Lepisosteus oculatus: one gene and its partners. The protein of the gene in region 1 interacts with the protein of each later gene in a pairwise test. Links are inferred from orthologs where the notes say so. Each region holds a gene or a part of one and is shown in the gene's direction. Other genes may lie near its edges. The genes, in order: drg1, rwdd1 and zc3h15.

Region 1 (7,306 bases):
AGCCCGGAGGAGTCCCGCCCGGCGCTCCCCTTGCGGGGCAGGAGCCCGACGCGCCCCCCCTGCGGGGCGGCCCCCCCCGGACTCACCTGGAGAAGCCCTTGCCGCAGCTCTGGCAGACGTAGGGCTTGCCGACGGAGCCGTCGTGCGAGCGCACGTGGTAGGACATGCGGTCCTTGCGCTTGAAGCGCAGGCCGCACACGGGGCAGGCGTAGGGCTTCTCCCCGGAGTGGGACAGCTTGTGCCGGTTCAGGTGGTACACGTCCCGGAACACCTTCCCGCAGACGTCGCAGCCCACGTGGCGCCGGGTCCGCTCCCGCTTGCGGGCCGAGTCCGCCGGGCCGGCGCCGTGCAGCCCCAGCCCGTTCTCCAGCAGGCCGGCCGGGGGCGGGGCCGCCAGGCCGGGGGCGCCCCCTCCCGCCGCCCCCCCCGCCGGGGCGCCCCCGTGCTGCGCCTCGTGCTGCCGGAGCCGCGCGGCGTCCGTGAAGATCTTCCCGCACAGCCCGCAGGGGAAGATGCCCAGGTCCTTGGGCACGCCGGCGCCGCCGAAGAGCAGGGGGTCCATCGCCGGCACCTTCTTGGGGCGCCCCCGGCCCCGCTTGCCCCCCACCCCGGGCTGGGCGCCGCCCCCGCCCTGGAAGGGGTTCCCGGCCAGCTCGGGGCCGCCCACGGGCAGCCGGTCCACCGTCTGCAGGGAGGGCATGACCTGCTGGCCGCCCGCTCGGCCGCCCCCGTCCACCTCGTGCGCCGGCCCGCCGCCCCCGAACACCGAGCCGTTGGCCACCAGCCCCGCGCCGTTGGACATGTCCAGGGGGTAGCCCAGCTCGGGCCCGCCGGTCCGGAAGAGCGCCAGGTCGCCGCGGGCCGGCGGCACCAGGATCTGCACGTTGGACTGCTTGATGACCTCCTGGCAGATCTCGATCACCGAGCGCATGAGCAGGAACTTGGCGGCCGTCATGAGCTCGGGGAAGCACTCCAGCCGCACCACGATCTTGGACGTGTAGGCGAAGTCCAGGATGTCTTTGAAAACTTTGGGGCTGATCGTGTGCATCTCCAACTCCTTCGTCTCCCCGTCCCCTTCCGCCTGACAGCTGAACACCGACTCGAAGTACTCGCTGCACGCCGCCAGCACCGCTTTGTGCGCGGGGAAGCTCTCCTCGCCGACCCGCAGCAGAACGTCGCAGAAGCGGCCTCCGGTGCGGCGCTGCACGTTGAGGTTGTGGAGCATCTCGGCGCTGTGCTTGCTCACCTGATACGTGTACGACGAGCTCCACGGCTGCTCCGCTATCCTGTCCATGTTGCCTTCATTCAAGAGCGACGTATCTCGGCGCTTCGAGGGGGGAAACGCAGGAGCAGAAGTGGGAAATTTAAAAGAAAGAGAGGAGGAAAACAAACCGACCCAACTCGCGGAGAAATCCGGCGAATTTCTCTTTTTAAAAACACACGGCACACGCACCCTCCGACACCTTAGCCCTGCTCGCGTCTCTTTTGCATCTAAAAAAAAAATGTTTGCAGGGAGGAAAAAATGGCAGCCCCCCAGCTTCCTGTGAACTTTGACCTTTGTTTCGGGGGGGGCGGACCAGCCGGGAGGGGGGTAGGGGCACTCGGAAAGCGCTGTGTTTTCCGCGCACCAGCCGGGGGGGTTGAGAGAGGGGGGCGAGGCGGCGCGGGTCGGACTCTCCGGTAGCCAGCGCCTGGACACGGCCGCCGGCTCCGGGCTCGTCTCTCCCCTCCATCCCGGCCTCCGTCTCCTCCCCCCTCCCCCGCGCGATTCCCAGGCCTGTTTTTCCAGCGCGGATGCCCCCTCCCACAGAGGCAGCGCGACACACAGCTCGGAGCGCCGCCGGGATTGCGAGCTCGCAGGGATTCGGCTCCTCCGAGTGACCCGCTAGTAATAACAATAATAACAGTAATAATGATGATAATAGAGACGGGGGTGTGAAATAGTTGGCGAATAAAAGCCGTTTCTACGGTTAACGCTCTCAGCCAAATGCACCGCCGATGCAGAGAATAGAAACTGGATTTTAGGGACCAGAGGGGCTGTTGTTTTTAAAGACCCCGCTCCAGCCCGACCGCGGGGCTGCGCGCGTTTCGGACTCCACTCATCCAGATATCATAAATCCGACCCCCCTCCCGCTTTCCCCCCGTGTCAGGGGGAGTTGGGGGGTAGCAGGTCCCACAGCCGCCCACGGGGCAGCACCGACGCAGGCGGACGCGGGATCCGCAGGTGTGGGCGCTGGGGGGGGGAGGAGCGGTGCATTGTGGGGTGTGGGTGGGTGGGTGTGTGAGTGTGGGGGGGGTAACTCGTAAGTGTACATTCTAGCTTTTTACCGTTTAGCTGTCAGCCGGGGTTCTCGAGTTACAGCAGGGCAGGGAAGCCTCTGTGCTCATTAACTCTTTCGCACTTGTGTGTGTGTGTGTGTGAGCCCTGCAGACGCCACAACAGCCCCCTGCCCCAGGGGGTGTACGAGCACCCCCTGCCCCTGGGGTAAACAACAGCCCCCTACCCCTCTAGGGTGTACAAGAGCCCCCTGCCCCCTGGGGGTGTACTTGAGCCCCTCGCCCCCTGGGGCAAAAGCGATCCCCCTGCCCCCTGGGGGTGTACATGAGCCCCCTGCTCTCTGGGGCAAAAGAGAGCCCCCAGACCCCAGGAATTTACCTGCACTGGTGTGCTTGTCTACCTCTTGGGACGGGTGCCTTATATACCCCTGGGGGCAAGAAAACATTCACTAACGTTGCGGACCAGAGGAAACAACACAGCAGCGGAATAAGAGCAGAAAGTGTCTCTAAATTACAGGTAAATCCAAACATTCCCACGGCACCTTCCAAACATCACACGTGTGAAAGGTCAGTGAACAGAAAAGAGAATATATTGGGGCGGAGCAGTGGCTCTGTGGCTCAGGATCTGCGCCTGTGGCTGGGAGGTTGCCGGTTCAAATCCCGCAGCCAGCAGAGGAATCCTACTCCGTTGGGCCCCTGAGCAAGGCCCTTCACCCCAGCTGCTCCAGGGGCGCCGTATAAACGGCTGAACCTGCACTCTGACCCCCAGCTTCTCTCCCTGCCTGTCTGTCTCATGGAGAGCGAGCTGGGGTCTGTGAAAAGACAAATTCCTAATGCAAGAAATTATAAAGGGTTAGTAAAGTGATATTATTATTATTATAATAGACAGTCCATCCGAGCGAGAAGTTCAAGGAGAGACGGAAAGTGGCGAGCGAGTCAGTCTGATGGGAGAGTTCAACACACAGCAGATGTGTGGGGCAGCAGCTGGCAGGAGACTGCTCTGGCACCACTGCTGAAACGCTCCTATTGCCTTCTGCTCGCCTTGCACGTGGAATCAGCTGTTAATCTCCCAATTATTCCCCTCCTCCCTCGTTTCGGCGCCGAGCTGGGACCGCCACTCCAGGGACACGCTCCGCAGGCTGCAGAGGTGCTGATGGGGTCCGCAGAGCACCCCAGAATCCCCCCCTCCCTCTGCTGGCTCCCCGGGAGGGATTCGTCTTCCCAAAGTCTGAGCCACCGGCCAGTGGGAAGATCCCGGCGTGCTCCGCAAGCCGGCTTGGCTTCCCCATCGGATCCGAGTCGGATCGCACACAGCTGCAGGAGCAGTGAGGACTTGGGGTTTGGCCGGTAGGGAGATGTTGTGGACATGTGGACACACATGCACACAGATACACACAAGCACACACACGCACATACAGGCACACAGACACACACACGAGCACACACACGCACATACATGCACACAGACACACACACATGCACATACGTGCATGAACACACACGCACACAGTCTGACACATGCACACAGACACACACACAATCACACACATGCACACACACATACTGTACGCACGCAGGCACACACAATCACATGCACACACGTGCATGCAGACATACACACAGATACACACACAATTACACTCATGCACATAAATGCACACACAATCACACTCACTCATACACACACATACATGATCAGTTCTTGCACCTCCGAAGGTCCGTAACTGGTGACTTTCAGCAGGGAACTAGTTATGAAGTCAATTCAGCATGAAGTAAAAGCCTAACCTTTGTAGGTCTCAGTAACAGGGCCTTCACAAGCCTGTGAGCTGGGTGACATTCTCAGACCAGTTAGCCCCTACGTGAGAGCACACGTAGGGGGCTGGAGTTGTGCACTGTGAGGCACTGTCGCTCTTAGAGTCCGCAGACATTTCCCCCACGGAGCTGGGGGGGGTGCTGCAGTACCTCCTCCGCACCGCCAGGGGCGCCCTGTTCCCCCAGCGCCGCTGCTGCTCGCTGCGTGGCCGTGGTTTCTCGCGAGAGGCGCTCGCCGTGCCGGAGCCGGGCGTCTGTGTGTGTGAGAGAGAGGAGAGAGGAGCGTGGGGGGCTTGACAGAGGACCGAGCGGCTACCGAGTCTTCACCCTTCGTTATACGCGAGAACTGCGGCAGCGGCGCACCGGCGGGGAGGAAGAAGTTGGTGTCGGACCCACAGCCGCCATGAGTTTGCTGGCGAAGATCGCCGAGATCGAGGCCGAGGTGCGTGTGGACGCTGCAGGGCTCGGAGCAGTGCTGGCGGCCGTCTGATTTGAATGATTCCTGATGTCCTCCGGGTGGGGTCTGTCCCGGCGGGCCGGGGCGTAACGGCTTTCGAACACGGGTCCTGGTCCAAGCCCGGTTCGGAACCGGAACCGCCGAGCGAGCGGGACAGAGGGGTTCTCGCGGCGTCCGAACTCTGTTCTCGGACCCGTGCGTCTGCATCGGGGGGCCTGGACCCCCGGCGGCCTCGCGGCTGGAGAGCTCGGGTCTGGACGGCGGAACCGGAGCCCGAGTGACACACGCAGGCAGGGCAGGGCGACCACACAGGGCGCCGGGCCGGAGGGTGCTCAGCGCTACTGTCTCCTCTCACTGCGACTTGTATTGTTGCTGGTGTCGTTCTGTAAAACGCTTTGAGAAGTCACCTTTAAAGGCGCTGTATAGAATAGTTTATTATTATTACCTTTTGGGTCTGAGAATCTCATCCAGCTGCTTATTCCAGAGCAGCCTGCAGCATGGAGTGTGGAGCAGGCAGCCCAGCAGGACCCTGTGATCGGTGTTGAAACGGGACTGAGAATGTGTGTTCTCCCCTCTTCCCTCTCCTCTCTCCTCCTCTCCCCTTTCCCCCTCCTCTCCCCTTTCCCCCTCTCCTTTCTCCCTCTCTCCCTCTCTCCTCCTCTCTCTCCTCTCCCCTCTCCTCCTCTCCCCTCCTCTCTCCTCTCCTCCTCTCCCCCTCTCCTCTCTCCCCTCCTCTCTCCTCTCCTCCCCTCTCCTCCTCTCTCCCCTCCTCTCCCCTCTCCCCCTCTCTCCTCTCCTCCCCTCTCCTCCTCTCCCCTCCTCTCTCCTCTCCTCCCCTCTCCTCCTCTCTCCCCTCCTCTCCCCTCTCCCCCTCTCTCCCCTCCTCTCCCCCTCTCTCCTCTCCTCCCCTCTCCTCCTCTCTCCCCCTCTCTCCTCTCTCCCCCTCTCTCCCCTCCTCTCCCCTCTCCCCCTCTCTCCCCTCCTCTCCCCTCTCCCCCTCTCTCCTCTCCCCTCCTCTCTCCCCTCCTCTCCCCTCTCCTCCTCTCCTCTCTCCCCTCTCCAGATGGCTCGGACTCAGAAGAACAAGGCGACGGCTCACCACCTGGGCCTCCTCAAGGCGCGCCTGGCCAAGCTGCGGCGCGAGCTCATCACGCCCAAGGGTGGCAGCGGCGGGGGGACGGGAGAAGGTGAGGGCGCTGGGGGTCAGTCCTGGTTGATTCCACGCTGGGTCACAGGGAGGAGCTGGCCGCCCGGACCTGCGCCAGGCGTGGTGCTGGTGGTGCGCCCGGTCCCGCCGCCGCCCCGGCTCACCCGCTCCCGGTGTCGTTGGCAGGGTTCGACGTGGCGAAGACGGGCGACGCGCGGATCGGCTTCGTGGGCTTCCCCTCGGTGGGCAAGTCCACGCTGCTCAGCAACCTGGCGGGCGTGTACTCTGAGGTGGCCGCCTACGAGTTCACCACCCTCACCACGGTGCCGGGGGTCGTCCGCTACAAGGGCGCCAAGATCCAGGTGGGGCGCGGGCGCCGGCCGCCGGGAGGGAGGGGCGGGACGGGGGACGGGGGACGGGGGCGCCCCGATTGTGACCTCCGTGTGCCTCTGTGCTGCAGCTGCTGGACCTGCCGGGCATCATCGAGGGCGCCAAGGATGGCAAGGGCAGAGGCCGGCAGGTGATCGCAGGTGAGAGGAGACGCCCGCAGCAGGACCAGCTGAGGTCCGCGGTCAGGACCTGTGACCCGGGTCCTCAGCGGCGCTGCTGGAGTGAAAACGACGCCTTACTGTCACTTCATGCACGGAGTGCATCATCAGCCATATCACCTTGCAGCTCCCAGCTGGCAGCCCCACTGAAGCCCAGCAGGGTGAGCCTGGTCAGTACCTGGAGGGGAGACTCCTGGGAAAGCTGAGGCTGCTGCTGGAAGAGGTGTTAGTGGGGTCAGCAGGGGGCGCTCACCCTGCGGTCTGTGTGGGTCCTGATGCCCCAGTATGGTGACGGGGACACTGTACTGTAAGAAAGGTGCCAACCTTTGGATGAGACTTAAAAGCGAGGTCCTGACTCTCTGTGGTCATTAAAAATCCCAGGGTGGTTCTTGAAAAGAGTAGGGGTGTAACCCTGGTGTCCTGGCCAAATTTCCCCCTGGCCTTTACAGTCATGTCCTCCTAATAACCCCCATCTCTGAACTGGCTTCATCAGTCTGCTCTCGTCCCCACTGAGAGCTGGTGTGTGGGGAGTGTACTGGCGCATCACCCAGTTGGGCCTGCACACTGGTGGTGGTAGTGGGATTTCTCAATACCTGTAAAGAGCTTTGAATGGAGTGTCCAGAAAGGTGCTACATAAGTGTAAGGAATTATAATTATTATATTATTACTTCTGTGATGTTGGAGGTGTTGTGTCTCAGTGGACAAGCGGACACAATGACTCGCCTGAGTGCGATCCAGTCTCAGGACACAATCAGTGTGGTGCCACAGCTGGCTGGCCCGGAAAAACAATGGCTGCTCTTTGAGTGTGCTCTATCATTTCAGTCCACAGCGTCAGAATGTGGAGCTCAAAGCAGCTTGTGGCTGACAAAGACTCAGAGGGCTGCATTTGGGGTTACTGCCGAGGAGCTGAAGGACCTCTGTAGCTCCACACACAGTTAGGACCAAGAGAACGATAAAACACTTCAGCTCAGTCGGCGTTTTGGTCTTTGTTGAATAACTCTTGAGAGATGAGAACCGTTTCAGAAGGAAATAGGATCAAGCGTACAGACGAACAGACTTGGGAGT
Region 2 (8,100 bases), on another chromosome or scaffold:
GTGTTTGCTCCAATGTTCAGCAGCGCTTATATTTCCTGGGAAGACTAAGAGTGTTTGGGGTTCGACAGGATGTAATGCTACTCATTTACCATGCTGTAATGGAGAGCATTATCAGAAATGGTATTACAGTGTGGTTTGGTAATCTATCAGTTCATTTAAAATCACAAATTACCACCTCTTCCAGACAGCTTTGAAGGTCATGGGAGTGAAACAGCATCCCTCCCCGCAGACAATCTTTGAAAAATCCAAAATCAAACAGGCTGGAAAAATGATATAAGATCCTTCCCACATCCTCAGCTGTGAATATCAACTTCTTCCTTCTGGCAAACGTTCTAGGGTTCCCAAATGTAAGTCAAACAGATACAAACGTTCCTTTGTTCCACTATCCATTAAAGCTGTCAACGCAAATGTCAAGGATGAACACAATTTTGACTCTGAATAAAGATATAATAATAATAATAATAATAATAAACTTTATTTTATATAGCGCCTTTAAAGGTGGCTTCTCAAAGCGCTTTACAGGATGACAATAACAATAAATAAGAAGACTACAACAATAAATAAGAAAAATTTCACAAGACAGGACACAATTATAATTACAGCAATACAACAATAACAATAGAGGAGACCGTGGAAGATGGTATTAAGAAGAGCAGAGGGGTGAAGAATGGAACCAGTTAAGTAAAGGCTTTTCTGAAAAGGAGGGTTTTGAGTCTGGATTTGAAGGAGTTTAGAGAAGGTGACTCTCTAATATCCTTGGGCAAGGAGTTCCAGAGCTTGGGGGCATAGCAGGAGAAGGCCCTGTCGCCTTCTCCTGAAGTAAAGAAGGGGTTAACTGATTCCTTTCTGCACAAGGACTGGACTTCTTGTGACACAAGACATTCCAGGCAAGTTAAGGCAGGAAAGTGGAATAACTGATAAGGATTCCAGATGCCAGCTAGAAACCCCCCCCCCCAAGGAAGGAAACCTAAAACTGACCATTAAGAGTGGTCAGAGCCTGGGGGCTGTCCGAACACCGCGACCTCCCCCCGTTACCATGGTAACGAGCTACCGCCAGAAGCTGCTGAAAAGTGCTATTTAAACTGGAAGTTTTGTACCGGTATTTCGAATAATACTTCGGTTTTATTGTTCCTTGCATGCAATAAAACCAATCTCTTTAAACTTCATCTCGGAATCCAGAACTTATTTGTCTGTTACAACAACTCAAAGCGCAATATGTTTTGTGATGTGTTATAAATGTTACACGTTGTTATGCTGTCTACTTTACATGTGCAATAGAGTGATGTGCAATGTTTTTCTTATTTTTTGTAATAGCATAATGTGCAATGTTTTTCTTTTCTTCTTCTTTTTTGTGTTTGCATTCTATTTAAATGTACAGGAGTGCTGTGTGTCCATAAACAATTTCCCTCAGGGGACAATAAAATCTTATCTTATATTGATACCTGTTTTTTATCATGGGGTAAAAGTAGGGTAAAAAGACATTCCTTACTCTGGGGACCAGGCATGGAAGAGCGGTCCTGTCAGGGGAAACGTAGTTCACAGATTAAGATGTCAATGTGAGCTCTGTTTCACCTCTCCCTATGGATCCAGTAAACCATCCCAATGTCCACAAACACACTCTGTGGCTGCAGATGGAATTTTCCATCTGGGTCCAAACAAATACTTTTTTGTATAATGTAAATATGGTAACTTTGTGATGCTTATGATGTGCATGCTATTTATGTCCCTCTAAGAACTGTCCAGATTGCAACAGGAATTGTCACACGATCCAAGGATAGCTGGTTGCACAGGTCCGAAAACTACTCCAGTAGATGGAAAAGCAGATGAAGAGAGGGAGGAAGAAGATAAATATATATTTGAATATACTACAGAGACTACTGTATGTTTTGGGAGAGTTTAATTGGTCATACTTTCTATTACTGCAGCTGTAGACAGATCATATAACACCTTGGTCAAAGGTCCGAAGTGTGAATTATGGAATCCCATGAAGAGTACAAGAGTACGGTATATACCCAAGTGCTCAAGGAGTATTAGAAGTTACTCTCTCCTTCACCTCTGCTGAATATAAACAAGTCCCGGTGTGAGGAATGAGCATGTGATAGGTTTGCCAAGTCTATAGCTGAGATGCATGATTGGTATTATTAATATACTGTATACTTAGGACAGCCTTCACCTAATAACTGCACAGCCATTGCATTGTTAAGACTAACCAATGTATCTACTGTATGCATGCCCCCCCTCATCCCTATCTTTTTTCACTCTACCTTAACAACCCTTTTGCCCTTCCCTCAGATATCTATTCCTCTTCTTTCTGATTTCACTCTACAGGCAATCATAAAAATAATAATAATAAACTTATATAGCACTTTTCTGGACACTCCACTCAAAATGCTTTACAGGTAATGGGGACTCCCCTTCACTATCACGCTCCACCACCTGGATGAAGCAACAGCGGCCAGAGTACGCTCACCCCACACCAGCACCGACAGAGTAATGAAGCCAGTTCATAGATGGGGACTATTAGGAGGCCATGATTGGTAAAGGCCAATGGGAAATTTGTCCAGGACACCCCTACTCTTTCCGAGAAACGCCCTGGGATTTTTAATGACCACAGAGAGTCAGGACCTTGGTTTTACATCTCATCCGAAGGACAGCGCTTTTTTACAGTATAGTGTCCCCTACTGGTCCCACTAACACCTCTTCCAGCATCAGTCTTCGCTTTTCCCAGGAGGTCTCCCATCCAGGTACTGGCAAAGCTCACACCTACTTAGCTTCAGTGTGTTACCAGTTGTGAGTTGTAGGGTGATATAGCTGCTGTCTTCTATGTGAGCAGCACTGGTTATAAGGCCCCAAGAGTTGACCAGACTGTCATCAGCACAACCACCTGCTCCCTGGAAATCTCTGATGAGCCCTGATGACCTGCAGTATTGTGGTATCAACACCTCCTCAACATTCCACACATAGAAGGAGCTCATCAGGGCCAACTCAATTAAGCACAGGCCAGGCTTATCCATTAATTAGGAACCGCATTCACTATTTATGCTCAGATATTGAGTCACAATAGCATGTGGAGTTGCTGGTTTTGCCCCAGGACTCTTCCCATTCTAATTTCTCCTATTATTCCATTTCTTGTTCAATAAACCATTAAAACTTTGCCACTGAACTGACTCTGGTAATTACCAATTTGCTGCACCCTATTTTCCATCTATGGGTGTGGCATAACAAGTTTGCCTACTAGAACTGCTCTTTTATCCCAAACACCATTTTCCCTCTGGTCTTCACTAAGAAGACTGTGCAAGTCTCTGCCATCTAGTGGTGCTAAATCTCCTCTCATTCTATTTTCTACTACTGTAACCTTCCGTTGGCTCCAATGTGTGCATGCAAAAGTTAAATTGAATATTATTGTGATTGATATGGCCTCGGCGAAACAATCACTTTTCTGTGCGATATATTGCTTTTGCAAACCCAGGTATATATTGTTGTTTCTTTCTGATAATATTAATAAACAACAAAGTATTCTCCAATAATGGAGCTTTTAAGCTAGTTGTGTGATGCAGTATCCTAACAGAAGACTTTAGTGTTCATATTTTAGCATACAAAATGGAATTGTTTTGGTAATTTTCGGGTTGGGGGTGGCATGGTGTTCATGATGGATTTAGAAAAGGTAGGTCTTACCAATTTATTATTTGGACAAACAACAATTGCAATGGATACACACATGAAATGCAATATGGTGTATTTAGATTTTCTGATTTTTTTTTATAAAGTTCCTAAAAAAAGCCTTATTTACAATTTGCATTTTACAGACATTCAGGGAAATTAGTGTTTGGATTGAGGATTGGTTATTAAATAGAAAACAGAGGGTAAAAATATGGGATGAATATTCAAACTGAGGAAATAGTGAATTACTGTACTATGGGGGTATGTACTTGGACCACTGCCCTTCTTAATTAATATTAATTTAAATCTTCTAGACGATGTAGAAAAGCAGTAAATTAGGCAAACAAAATAATAAATACTTCATAAACATAATATATACTTCATTGACACCTGAAGAAGGCTCCACGGCCGAAACGTTGTGTTCTCTTTCTTCTTTTTTTCAGCATGGAATAAACCTATTACTTGTTCCTTTGCAGCCTACGCATGCTGACGCAGCTACCCACCTGAACTACTACCGTATACTTCATAAATGTAGAGTTCAAAATCAAAGAATGTTATGTTTAAAATGTCTAATGCACCAATTAGGCCACACTTAGAAGAGTGTATACTATTTTAATCGCCATGTTATAGGAAATATATTGCTGCTCAGGAATCTGTCCACAGAAGACAAACCAAATATCTGCAGCCTTAAGGGTATATTCAACACTGACAGGCTGAAGAAACGGACCCTTTAGTCTTGAACAGTAAAGATTACAAGGGGGCCTGACATGGGCATGGGCATGAGCATGATTGTTCAGGTGGGTAGCTATGATGATATAATGATGAAGACCAGCAGACACACCGACCCCCCGGCACCCAGACTGGACATAAATGCACTATTTTCTCTCGAGCCCTGATACAGCCCTGCGAACACCAATATTTTGATGCTTTCTAGCGTACAGCAGAAAGATCATTTTAAATATTTGACAAAGTGATCAGGACAACAAATACAAAAAACCTACATTAATTTTCGGTTAGTACTCCAGTATATCTCGTATTGAAAACAGGAAGAAGTATTCCCGCAATTCTTAACGTATCGTTAATGTATACAAACTAATTAACATATAAATCGCACCACACAGAATACTATACTTTAACGTGCTACAGCTCACCACCTACAAACTCTTCATTCCAAACTATACACCCATGCCATGTGACTAGTGTGCGACCTTCCACGTAAGGCCCAGACTAATCAATTAAAGATACAACTAAATACGATAAAAATGGTATTTTAAATGAAAAATAAAATACAAAGAAAATATTCCGAGTGTTTCATTGTATACAGAAATAATTATTCATCCTATATTGTTTTTAAACGCGTTTTATCAACAGCGATGAAGACCTGACTCGTGATTGCCGAGAAGTCGATCTCTTTCAGGCCTCATTTGCGGGTTGTTCATTTGTATTTTTTGTAATATAGTAATCAATGGGAAATTGTGAGAAAAAATGACAGATTACGGAGAGGAGCAGCGGAACGAGTTGGAGGCATTGGAGTCCATATACCCGGATTCGTTTACAGGTATGTACTGTAATATTTTTAAACTAAGCATAGAGTTTGTAGAAATTTCAGAGAAAACGTGTAGTGTTTGCAGCTGCAGCAAGTTCTGTCAGGAATCTGTACTTGGGTTTCCTATTTTTTCTTATTTTCTAAGCTTTCGAAAAACGATATCTGCTACAAAATTAGATATGTCGTAATATATTAGGTGTTATTGTTCCAGTGCTGTTTGGTTTTTAATGAAGCGTTATGTTTGCAAGGCTAGCTGGGCAGTCGCATAAAGCAGCTTCAGTTTATGCAGCAAAATCAGTTATGCAGTGCGTGAATATACAATGCAATAGTTAAATGTAGACGCAAAACATTCGAGCATTTCCGATAATAACTCAGGCTTATACATTTCCACATTCTCTGTACAAACGTACGGGTTATCTTTTATATGTTAATAAAAGCTATCAAATCCATACATGCATAAGCCTTATTTGATACATATTCATATCTCGTATAATATACGTTGTTGTTGTTATTTAGTAATTTAATAGTATTGTAATGGTTAATTTGTATTGTTCTTTTTATGGCCAGTGCTTTCAGAAAACCCTTCAAGTTTTACTATTACTGTGACTTCTGACGCAGGCGAAAATGATGAAAGTAAGTACTGAATTTTTGTTGAAGCTCAAGTAGTTAGCTGAGTCAGCATGCGTAGACTGCAAAGGAACACTTAAAGGTTTATTCTGTGCTGAAAAGGGAGGAAAAAAACACAACGTTTCGGCTGTGAAGCCTTCTTCGGGTGTCACTTCGGGTCACCATTACTTGTTCCTGAATATTTGTTGTGTGTGTATCGATTGTATCATGCATATTCACAAAAACCAAAATATTTTATTATAAAATATTAAATATGCACATAAACACAAATCGATGTTTAAGTACAGTATATATGCATACTGTATATAAAGAAAGTTACAAACGAGAGGAGGACATTCAGCCCATCTAGTTCATTTGGTTGCTGAATTAAATTAACTTGCAGATCTCCAGAACCAGATCTAATTTAATATATTAGTCGTTTCCTTTTTATTTCCTATTCTCTTTGAAACACTTAGACTATCACAGCTCTTTTCCTTTCTGATATTTTATTTTTACCTGTACTTGCAGTACATTCAATTTTTTAACTAACATTTTTTTTGATTGTCTTAGATTTTCTTAAACCATTTGTGTCACTGCTTTCTTGGTTATATTTACTTACTCATGGGAGGAATCTATTTGGTGATTCAGGTAGATTATATTTACAGTGCTGCTGTTTTAATCAAATGCTGTTAGAAGCCTGATGGAAATCTTTATGGCACTGGATGTTCTGCCATCAGTCACTGACCAGTTATTTATGAAGTTTTCATAGATCTTGGTAGCTCAAAGCTAACAGAACTGGTTATACCGACTTTGCGGAGAAGCAAGAGAAAAAACTGTCAAAGGTAAACATGGCAGAACATGCAGGTGTCTATAACATCCACAGAATGTTATCTGTTCAGCCAGGGAGTTACTTCACACAGTGTCAGTCATTCAATTAGAAATAAAAACACTGCCCTCTGACCTTTAGAAGTGGGGTCATCATGGTTGTGTTTGTGGTGCACAGCTGTTTTCAGAAGGTATTATTTATTTATGAAAGGATAATGAATGTTTGCAAATATGGATATTTCACTTGTGATAAAGTGACTTTGTATAAATAACTAACTGTATCAGAATATATCATTATAACAGAAACTAACATTGCAAATTTAAACTAAAATTTGATTGTTATGCAAAATCCATGATCTTTTTTGATGTATGCTTACTGAAAATTCTTTCTTTTTTTCTAGCTGTTCAGACTACTTTGAAGTTTACGTATGTAGAGACGTATCCCGATGAACCTCCACTTTATGAAATTTTTTCACAGGATAACCTTGAAGACAGTGACATCACAGACATACTAACACTATTACAGCAACAGGTGAAGAGATGTCTCCCATTGTATTCCTGTGCATTTTCACTTGGCAACTGAAACACCCTTTTGTGCTTCACATCTGCCTGTAAGAACAGGTTGATGGTCTGTAAAGTGATTGCTGCAGTTCCTGACATATACATTATCTTACATGTTGCAAACTATCACACCAGTGTCCATTCTTGGGCCTGCATACGTTTTATTGTTTCATATTATTAGTAAAAAAAAACCAACAAAGTGGTGATTGATTTAAGGTATCTTTAGGTATCAAAACTGCTGCTATTACCCCAGTGCCAAAGAAGCCTAACATGGCTCTCGACAATCTTAACAACTTTTGCCCCATCTCCAACTTACCCTTTCTCTCTAAAATTCTAGAACGTGCTGTCACACTTCAGTTACATAACCACCTCATGACAAACAACCTTTTCGAACCCCTCCAATCTGGCTTCCGTCAACTTCACAGCACAGAAACCGCCCTAGTCAAAGTCACCAACGATCTCCTAATAGCTTCTGATTCTGGTTCTCTTTCCATACTCATCCTTCTTGATCTCAGTGCTGCCTTTGACACTGTTGACCATAACATCTTGCTTTCTCGTCTCGAGACTGTTTGGAGTCTCTGAAACTGCCCTCAAATGGTTTAAGTCTTACCTCACTGATCGCTGTCACTTTGTCTCTCTCAATGGGTACAGGTCTGAAATTGGTCTTGTCAAGTCTGGTGTCCCTCAGGGCTCAATACTGGGCCCCTTGCTCTTCAGCATTTACATGTTCCCACTTGGTCAGCTTTTAAGATCACATGGCCTCAGCTTTCATTTTTACGCTGACGATACTCAAATATACATCCATACCAAAACCGACACTGATGTGGCTGTCTCTATTCTATCTAATTGCATCTCTGACATAAAAATTTGGATGACTCAAAACTTCCTTCATCTTAACTGTG
Region 3 (7,829 bases), on another chromosome or scaffold:
ATATAAAGTAAAAATAGTGTAACCAAATTAAACAGAATTTACAACTAACTTTACTAAATAACTACCCGTCTGCTATACTGTTTATATGTGTCTCTTACAGGGTAAGAAACATCCCTTTCTCTGGCAGATAAGACACAATACATGACTAGCAGGGGCTAATTGTAGTATAATGCAATATAGTAATGATTACACTATAGCTCAGAACAGACTAGTTGAGATAGTGTACACACAAACAAAATCTTTTAAAGTGGTTAGAGGCTTGATAGGATGACCAGAACAAGTCCATTTTGGGGAAGTTGGTGGGGATGAGTTGCTGGTGGTCCTCGAGTGGTGTCTGGCTCAGGTAAACAGGAGTTGATGTGTTATATCGTTATGCTCCAGGAACCTGAGAAACAGGTAGGGATGGCTGAAGAAGATTCTTCTCTTGTCCTCCAGTCTCTTCCGGAGCATGGGTTCCAATCCCACTCTTCCACCAGAAATATATTAGTGTGGGTTTCAGTGAAACTGAGGAGATCCACATACAGTATAACGGCAAATGAGTGTTTTTATCCCAGAGACAGGGCACAATATCATACAACCAAGACACAGTGGCAAAGCAGGACTGGTATATCTTACGCCATACTGGCTTTCTCTAGCCTCATTGGAACAGAAATAAAACTAGTCACCAGTTTAAACAGAGCTTACAACTGACGCAATAACTATGTGCTGTGCAAAAATGACCTGCTATACAAAGTTATCCCCAGAAATGCAGGTTACTATTTATACAAGTGCATTGAGAAGATCCTCTCTCAGGGGTATTACTGCTGTATGGCAATATAGTATTTAGTACAGCCTAATAATTCAATTTAGCTATAATTTTACATTTACAAGAGAACGTTCTAAGTATAGAACTTAGAATTTAGAAGCTTTTCATAAAATTTTCCTCTTCCCTCTAGTAATCATAAGGAATTGTTTTTAATCCCATCCTGAACCACTCCTGTGTCCTTTAAAATAGCAATTGTTTCACACTGTTACAGTTTCATATTTCATATAATACACTTAAACTGTAAATTCCACTTTGAAGCAATCTAGATCATGCAGAATGTAATGTGTTTTAGAATGATTGTAATGCCACCATGAGGCAAACTTTAGATATGCAGTTTTTGTATTTTGTTACAAACTGAAGCACACAGTGCTTTTCAAAAGCTGGATACTTGAGATTACATCATGGTGTAGGAGTTAAATTAAATAAGATACAATTTATGAGCAGGCAACAGAGACAAAATGTCTTAAAAATGTATTTCATATCTTAAGCATAAGAGAGAAAGCAAAGTAATTAGAACACAAAAGTATCATAGTGGACAGTGGGTTAAACATTTACATATATTAAAAATTACCCGAAAACAGAAAACAGATTCACAGAGTATTTCTGTAGAATATCTGATATGATTAGACTGAGACAATATAGTAATTGGGTGCACTACATGAATGTAAGTAATTTAAATTAAAAATGTGCTGTATGTAATGATAGTTGTGTTGTAGTATTCATAAATCAAATTACTACTGTATGTATTTCTCAACATTCTAAATTAAAACTTGATGATGCACTATTGTCCTCTGCATAATAAAAATTGACTTTTGTCAATGGTAGACATGCTAGCTTTAATTCCTGATCAGTGCTTTTATATTATCTACTGAGCAATAATTAACAAGTAATGTAGAAAATGCTAATCAAATCTGATTCATGTTCGCAAACAACCATGCAATATGTGAAAATTTATCATCCATTAAAATTAATTGGCAATTTAAATCTGCTGTTAAATACAGAGTTATTTGATAATAACTCATTCAAAGAAATGCGTACATACAGTAATATAACAGGCATTTAAGATCCATGATGTTTGAGTAGGGAGCCTCACACACCTAAAGAAGGCTCTACATCCAAAACTTTGTGTTTTTCATTCTAGTTTTCAGTGTGGTATTAACCTTTACCTATTCATTTATGCAAGGTATCTATTTAAATATCTCAACCGGAATCCATGACATTTTGCATATTTAAAATATTGATCTACTGTATATATGTATAAGGATAAGAAAATCTCCAATTCAAAAAAATATTAATGAGGCACGATCTTGTAGTAATGAATGATCTAGTTTGCTACTTTGATCAGTAACTTTGTATTCATTACCATAGCATTTACCATTGCGTAGTGTGCAACTTTAATTAAAAGCAAGGTGATCTACAAAGGAGATATGATTGTGCCATTAGTTCTGGAAGGACTAATATCAGTCTCAAATATCATGACTATGACAAAACCTTGAATGAAGGTGGCTTTACAGAAACTGCAGAGGGTTGATTTTTAAAATATTTATGAAATATTGTGCTTCAAAGATAGAAAATTTGGATACATTTTGATACTATTATTATGCTTCAATATGATTGCCTCCGGAAATTCTAATTTTGGGGGGATTTATAGAATATATTTTATTACAAAGCTTTTTTACATATTGGAAGAGACCCACTTCATCTACCACTAAAGTACATCGCCCGCCTGGTTAACATGGGGTACCCATTTAGCACCAACAGCCCACACAGCAAATAATTTCTAAAAGTGAGAAATGTATTCACAAATTCAATTAAACTGAAAGTTTAGGAAGGCCAGTGTAAATAGGCTATGACTGAATTTTTGCCAAGAAGCTGCGGTTAATATCCCTACTATAAAAAAATACCATGGGATCTTTAATGAGCACATAGTTTAAATCTCAGTTTAACTATACATCTGGACAGAGCAGTGCTCCTACACACCACAGTCTTTACAGTCACTATACTGAAAATGATTTTTTTTAATTCTGTTCCAGGGGCAAGAGCACCACCTACTGTACCTTCCCACCAACAATACCTGCAGGACCAACTTGATTTTCTGTTGAAGTCTCCCATCCATAAACAGATTAAGCCCAGCCTTTCTTAACGTCTGCGGCCGTATAAAATGACAAGATGTATGGTGATCTGATAAACCACAGATAATTATGGAACAAATGTTTTTTTCAAGTTTTACGTGAAATGTTGAATTCCAGATAGGGTTTATTTTCAGTGTTGGTGGTTGACAAAAATTTCTTTCAGCTAGTCTTATTAAAAACTTTGTCTTTGCAGGTGATAACCTAAGCAGTCACTTTCATGCAATGACATCCATTGTTTTCAATCTAAAGTTAAATGATATGTGTTTTTCTGCAAGTTTAAGTAATGTATTGTTTTATTCTGTATATCCCAATTACATTAATTATTAATTACATCAATTATAATTTCCCATTACATGACTTCTGAGGCAAAACTGTTTCAGTATCATTAGCTTTTGTTTTATGATATTTACTGCCCCCAGGGGAGACAGAAGTGAATATATAGTATGAACATTTGCAAAGTACAGTACATATGATCAAGTTTAAGTTAAAGTTTATTGTCATTCTACTCATATACAGTATAATATATACGGTATGACGCAATGCTATTTAGCTAGCTCTCGGACGATAAGTAGTACAGAAAAAAACAATACAATTGTATAACAAAAGAAAGACAGAGACAACAGGCAGTGTGCAAAAACAACAACAGGCAACGTCCAAAAACAACAACAGGCAGTGTGCAAAACAACAACAGGCAATCTGCAAAACAACAAAAGGGTAACAGGTCATGTGAAAAAACAACATCAGATGTGCAAAAACATGCATCAACAGAATTAAATAAAGGGATAGAAGTTATGGAGAGTGAGCTTTTTGACATGTAAGGTAAAGGTAGATTTCAATGTGTGTTTGAGTTTTTAGTAAGAAAGAAGGCACTGTGAGGTTCAGATCATAGGTGAGAGGTGAGGTGAGAGTGAGAGAGGCTGGGAGTTTAATAGTTTGATAGTGCGAGGGTAAAAACTGTCTCTGAGTCTGGTAGTCCGGGCCCGAATGCTCTAGTACCGTTTTCCAGATAGTAGAGGTCACAACAGTCTGTAGCTGGTGTGTGTGGGGTCTTTGATGATGCTTAGACCTTTCCTCAATCACCGTCTGTCATAAATGTCCTGTATAGATGTGAGGGCAACCCCAGTGATGGACTGGGTAGTTTTCACCACCCGCTGTAGGGCTTTGCGGTCAGTGTACTGCAGTACTGCAGTTGCCATACCATAGTATGCCATAATATGATTAATATGTCTTAGGAAAAAAGCACCAAACTTGTGGTTGGAGATTTACCCAACCAAAAAATTAGTCTCTAAAATTAATGATTGAAAAGAGTGATCCATGATTCAGTATCACAGCGTTTTTTCATTTTTGAAAAGCAACGTTAAATAAACAAAAGACAGTAGCAGTGTATACACGCTGTTTAATAGCCTCTTAAAATAAAAGAGTACTGGCATACAGTACAGTACTGGTATCTATGATCACAAATATTCCATAAACCTACTCAGTTTTTCCACGCTAATTTTCACATTAGTCTGCCCATATCCTTACCAATACCAATCGCTTTTTTCATTATTTAACATACTGTAGCTTCAGTTTTGTATTATTTTACGTCTTAGAAAGGTTACTCAAATCGAATATCTTTACTAATATTCAAGTTAAAGTTCTTATTCTCATATAACACAATATTTTTTTTAAGAAGCAAAAACTTTGGAGTACTTATACAACCATGAGATTTTTTTTTTTTGCCAATGAATTTAGAACTATGGGAGTTCTGCCTCTAACCCATAATGCTTTTCGAGACTCTGATTTCCCAGAGAGTCATCGGGGCCTGAACGCCGACTGAGCCAGCGCTTCATCCACCTAACCGGAGACTAGGAGCTCTTTTTTCAGCACCTTAATTTTCGATATGCCTCCAAAGAAACCAGCGCAACCAGCGGCTAATAAGAAAACCGACCAAAAGAAGAAGGAGAAAATTATCGAGGTTAGAGAAATGGTGTTTTATTTTATTTAAAAAAGTACAACCGGTAAATTGCAACTCCTCTATTTTGAACCATGCTGCATTTCGGGCCTAGCCTGGCCGGCTGTAGTTTAGGGCTTTACGGATGCGGTGATCATTTTCGTGTAGATAGTGATGTGCTAAAATCGGGAAATTGACAGCCCTTGTAATTCTTTAAAATAGGGCTTTTCGATTTTAATCTGTAGAAGTCGATTCGCACAGTTTTAGGTAAACTGTGAAACTGTAAGAAAAATGACAGTTGGGTAGTGTTGTGGATCGCATTCGTGTGGTCGAATTTACGGAATTTTAGTCTTGAGTCTGAGAAAACCATAGTTATGCCTTATAAAACCGAGCGGGGCTTTAACCGACCAAATCTCGTAATAAATTCAGTTTTGCGGTTTCCTTTTCTGGCTCAAAGAACGAGCGCTATCTGATACTGTCTTCTTCAGATTTTGGACCCCCCGACAGTCGCGTCTCTGTCATTAATCAACGGGATGTGTTTTTGTAGCAAAGCATACTTGACGCAAATTACACACACACAAAGCATAAATGATAAGTATTTGGGCGGGGGGTATTGTTATTAAAATAACTGGTGCGTAGGAATGAATTCTCATTGTTTATGTTCTATTTATCTGTATTCAGGACAAGACTTTTGGATTGAAGAATAAGAAGGGAGCCAAACAGCAAAAATTCATCAAGGCTGTCACGCAACAAGTGAAGTATGGCCAGCAGAACGCGCGACAGGTAAAACCATCAGCTGAAAGTCGTATCTGTATAGGATTAAGTTCTTGAGATGTTTGCCTTCTGAAACATTTGTTGTTTAAAAGAAAGGTATTTTGTCACATTTTATGCTTTGTTGTTTCTGTAGTTCCATTTTATGTTATTATGTTATTGTTTGTGAATAAATGATCATTGTTGTTGAAATAAATGTCATTTTACAGACTGAATAGGCAATAATAGCTCTCTGGTATACTTAAGGCTTACAACCCTATGTTAATGATCAAAATAGTGAAACTCACCACTTAAATTCCTAATACATGTAAGCACTCAATTGTTATTGTAATTGTCAAAACTCAAAATGTAAAAGTAAGCCTTCTTGAGCATACAGGATTGCTCTTCAGCCAGGGCTTAGAAAGTATTCTTTAGCCTCATCAAAAACAATTTTGGTGTTGCTTTTTCTTTAATTCAGGTGGCTGCAGCTGAAGGAGAGAAGAACAAGAAGGCAGATAAGAAGAAGGAACTTTCTGAATTAAATGAGCTCTTCAAGCCAGTAGTGGCAGCTCAGAAAATCAGTAAAGGTAAGTTATGTATTGTTGTTTTGTTTTATATATGTGAAAAATGGTTCGGTTAAGTTGAAGTCATGTCACTGGATTGTATCACTGTCATGTTCTGACTACATCACTGCCCTTTTGCTGAGTGTTGAAAGTAGGTGAAATTCAGAGACTGATATAACTAGTTGTCTCACTCCCAGAACTAAAATATTAACTGGTGCTACCAAATGTACTAGTCCATTCCATTTTGCTGTCGTAAAATAAACCATAAACTCAAGGTATGTGATTTGAAATTGTATTTTACCTGGGAATACCATTATCATATTTGTTAATATTTTGTCAGTTCAGTAAAAAGATACATTAAATGGAATATATTTTTAAGGATCATGTATTTCCTTTTGCTAAGTTAAATCCTTCATTTTAATGTACTGTAAAATATACATGGACTCATGTCTTTAATTTTGTATTTATGAATAAATGACCTGTTTCTTTTGTCAACAATAAAAAATAATTTATGAACAATAATAAATGCATAGACTTTATTTTCTCAGAGCAACAAAAAATCATGAAATAAAAGCTGGATTGAGACCAGTTATATTAATTTAGATGACACTACTTTATAAGCAAGTGATCTGCCATATTGCTTTCCAAACCAATACATTCTCACACTGTAAAGAGGTTTAATACAAGCCATCTATGGGAGAAACAGGATTTTAATTTGATACATCAATTCACTAATATGTAATCAAAAGTGGGAAAACTCAAGGACAGCTGATCATCAGTAAGTTGTTGTGGCATTTGTGATTGATGAGCAAATTCGCACTACATAAATGCTAATTAGCTTTGCAGTACTGACAGATTATCCAGTTTAATGTAAGGATGCCCTTTCAAAATATTACATTTCACAACTTGTTTGAACTTGTTTATATGTGTAAATTAATTTTAAAACATTTTAAATATGCCTGCTTACTACTACTAAAAGGTGCTCATGCTTAGCAAACACTCCCTGTTTTGAAAAATGAGTAGACTGGAACTTGTAATTGAATTTAAAATAATTTCATCTTGCAATTAACAAGTTTCTTAACAAGTAGCCAACCCTGTAATTATGTTACTGTCTGGTGGATTTTAATTTGAGAATACCTTTAAATTAGCTTTTAACTGCCCTCTTAATTCCAACTAAGTTTTTTTTTAAATCATAAATATCTGAATGGTGGTGATCATTAGCAGATTGTTATCCTGTGTAGTTTTCTTTTAAATGTCTTGAATTATTCATTCATTGTGGATGAGAACACTCAGATATTTGGATTGACAGGATGAAGCAAAATAAAACATGGCCCTTATCATGTTTCTGTCTAAAAACCATAAAAACAGCATTTGCGTTATGTACTTTTTATAATTGCCACTATCAAAATAGAATCAATGCAAAGATTATGACTTGTGTTAGGGTGATTCAAGTCTGTTAAAGAGGCAGTTTGTTTTCAGGGTTATTATATTATCGGCATGAAAAATTCTTAAAAACTGTACTGTTTATATAGTGAACTATTTATGAAGATAATATTCACTTTTCCGAAGATATGCAGTTTATTTGCCTTCTAAACAGTAATAGACAGTTTCTAACTACCGCACAATATTTTTTTCCTTTAAAGTGT

What was found.
Region 2: the proteins of drg1 (region 1) and rwdd1 interact in binary tests that used the Homo sapiens proteins (3 or more experiments, as listed by UniProt). The two-hybrid records come from large-scale screens. The link is inferred for Lepisosteus oculatus from reciprocal best matches to the Homo sapiens genes DRG1 and RWDD1.
Region 3: the proteins of drg1 (region 1) and zc3h15 interact in binary tests that used the Homo sapiens proteins (3 or more experiments, as listed by UniProt). The two-hybrid records come from large-scale screens. The link is inferred for Lepisosteus oculatus from reciprocal best matches to the Homo sapiens genes DRG1 and ZC3H15.

The regions. Positions count from the first base shown.
Region 1 is NC_090717.1:733,672-740,977, reverse strand, and holds the start of drg1 (developmentally-regulated GTP-binding protein 1), read left to right. Parts: upstream 1-4,270; 5' UTR 4,271-4,492; coding exon 4,493-4,531; intron 4,532-5,609; coding exon 5,610-5,733; intron 5,734-5,879; coding exon 5,880-6,055; intron 6,056-6,153; coding exon 6,154-6,223; intron 6,224-7,306. Other genes in the region: patz1 (POZ-, AT hook-, and zinc finger-containing protein 1), read right to left, coding at 87-1,294. UniProt on the Homo sapiens protein: Catalyzes the conversion of GTP to GDP through hydrolysis of the gamma-phosphate bond in GTP. Appears to have an intrinsic GTPase activity that is stimulated by ZC3H15/DFRP1 binding likely by increasing the affinity for the potassium ions.
Region 2 is NC_090697.1:32,552,294-32,560,393, forward strand, and holds the start of rwdd1 (RWD domain-containing protein 1), read left to right. Parts: upstream 1-5,059; 5' UTR 5,060-5,145; coding exon 5,146-5,218; intron 5,219-5,773; coding exon 5,774-5,839; intron 5,840-7,038; coding exon 7,039-7,169; intron 7,170-8,100. UniProt on the Homo sapiens protein: Protects DRG2 from proteolytic degradation.
Region 3 is NC_090707.1:17,986,982-17,994,810, reverse strand, and holds the start of zc3h15 (zinc finger CCCH domain-containing protein 15), read left to right. Parts: upstream 1-4,730; 5' UTR 4,731-4,819; coding exon 4,820-4,894; intron 4,895-5,551; coding exon 5,552-5,653; intron 5,654-6,098; coding exon 6,099-6,207; intron 6,208-7,829. UniProt on the Homo sapiens protein: Protects DRG1 from proteolytic degradation. Stimulates DRG1 GTPase activity likely by increasing the affinity for the potassium ions.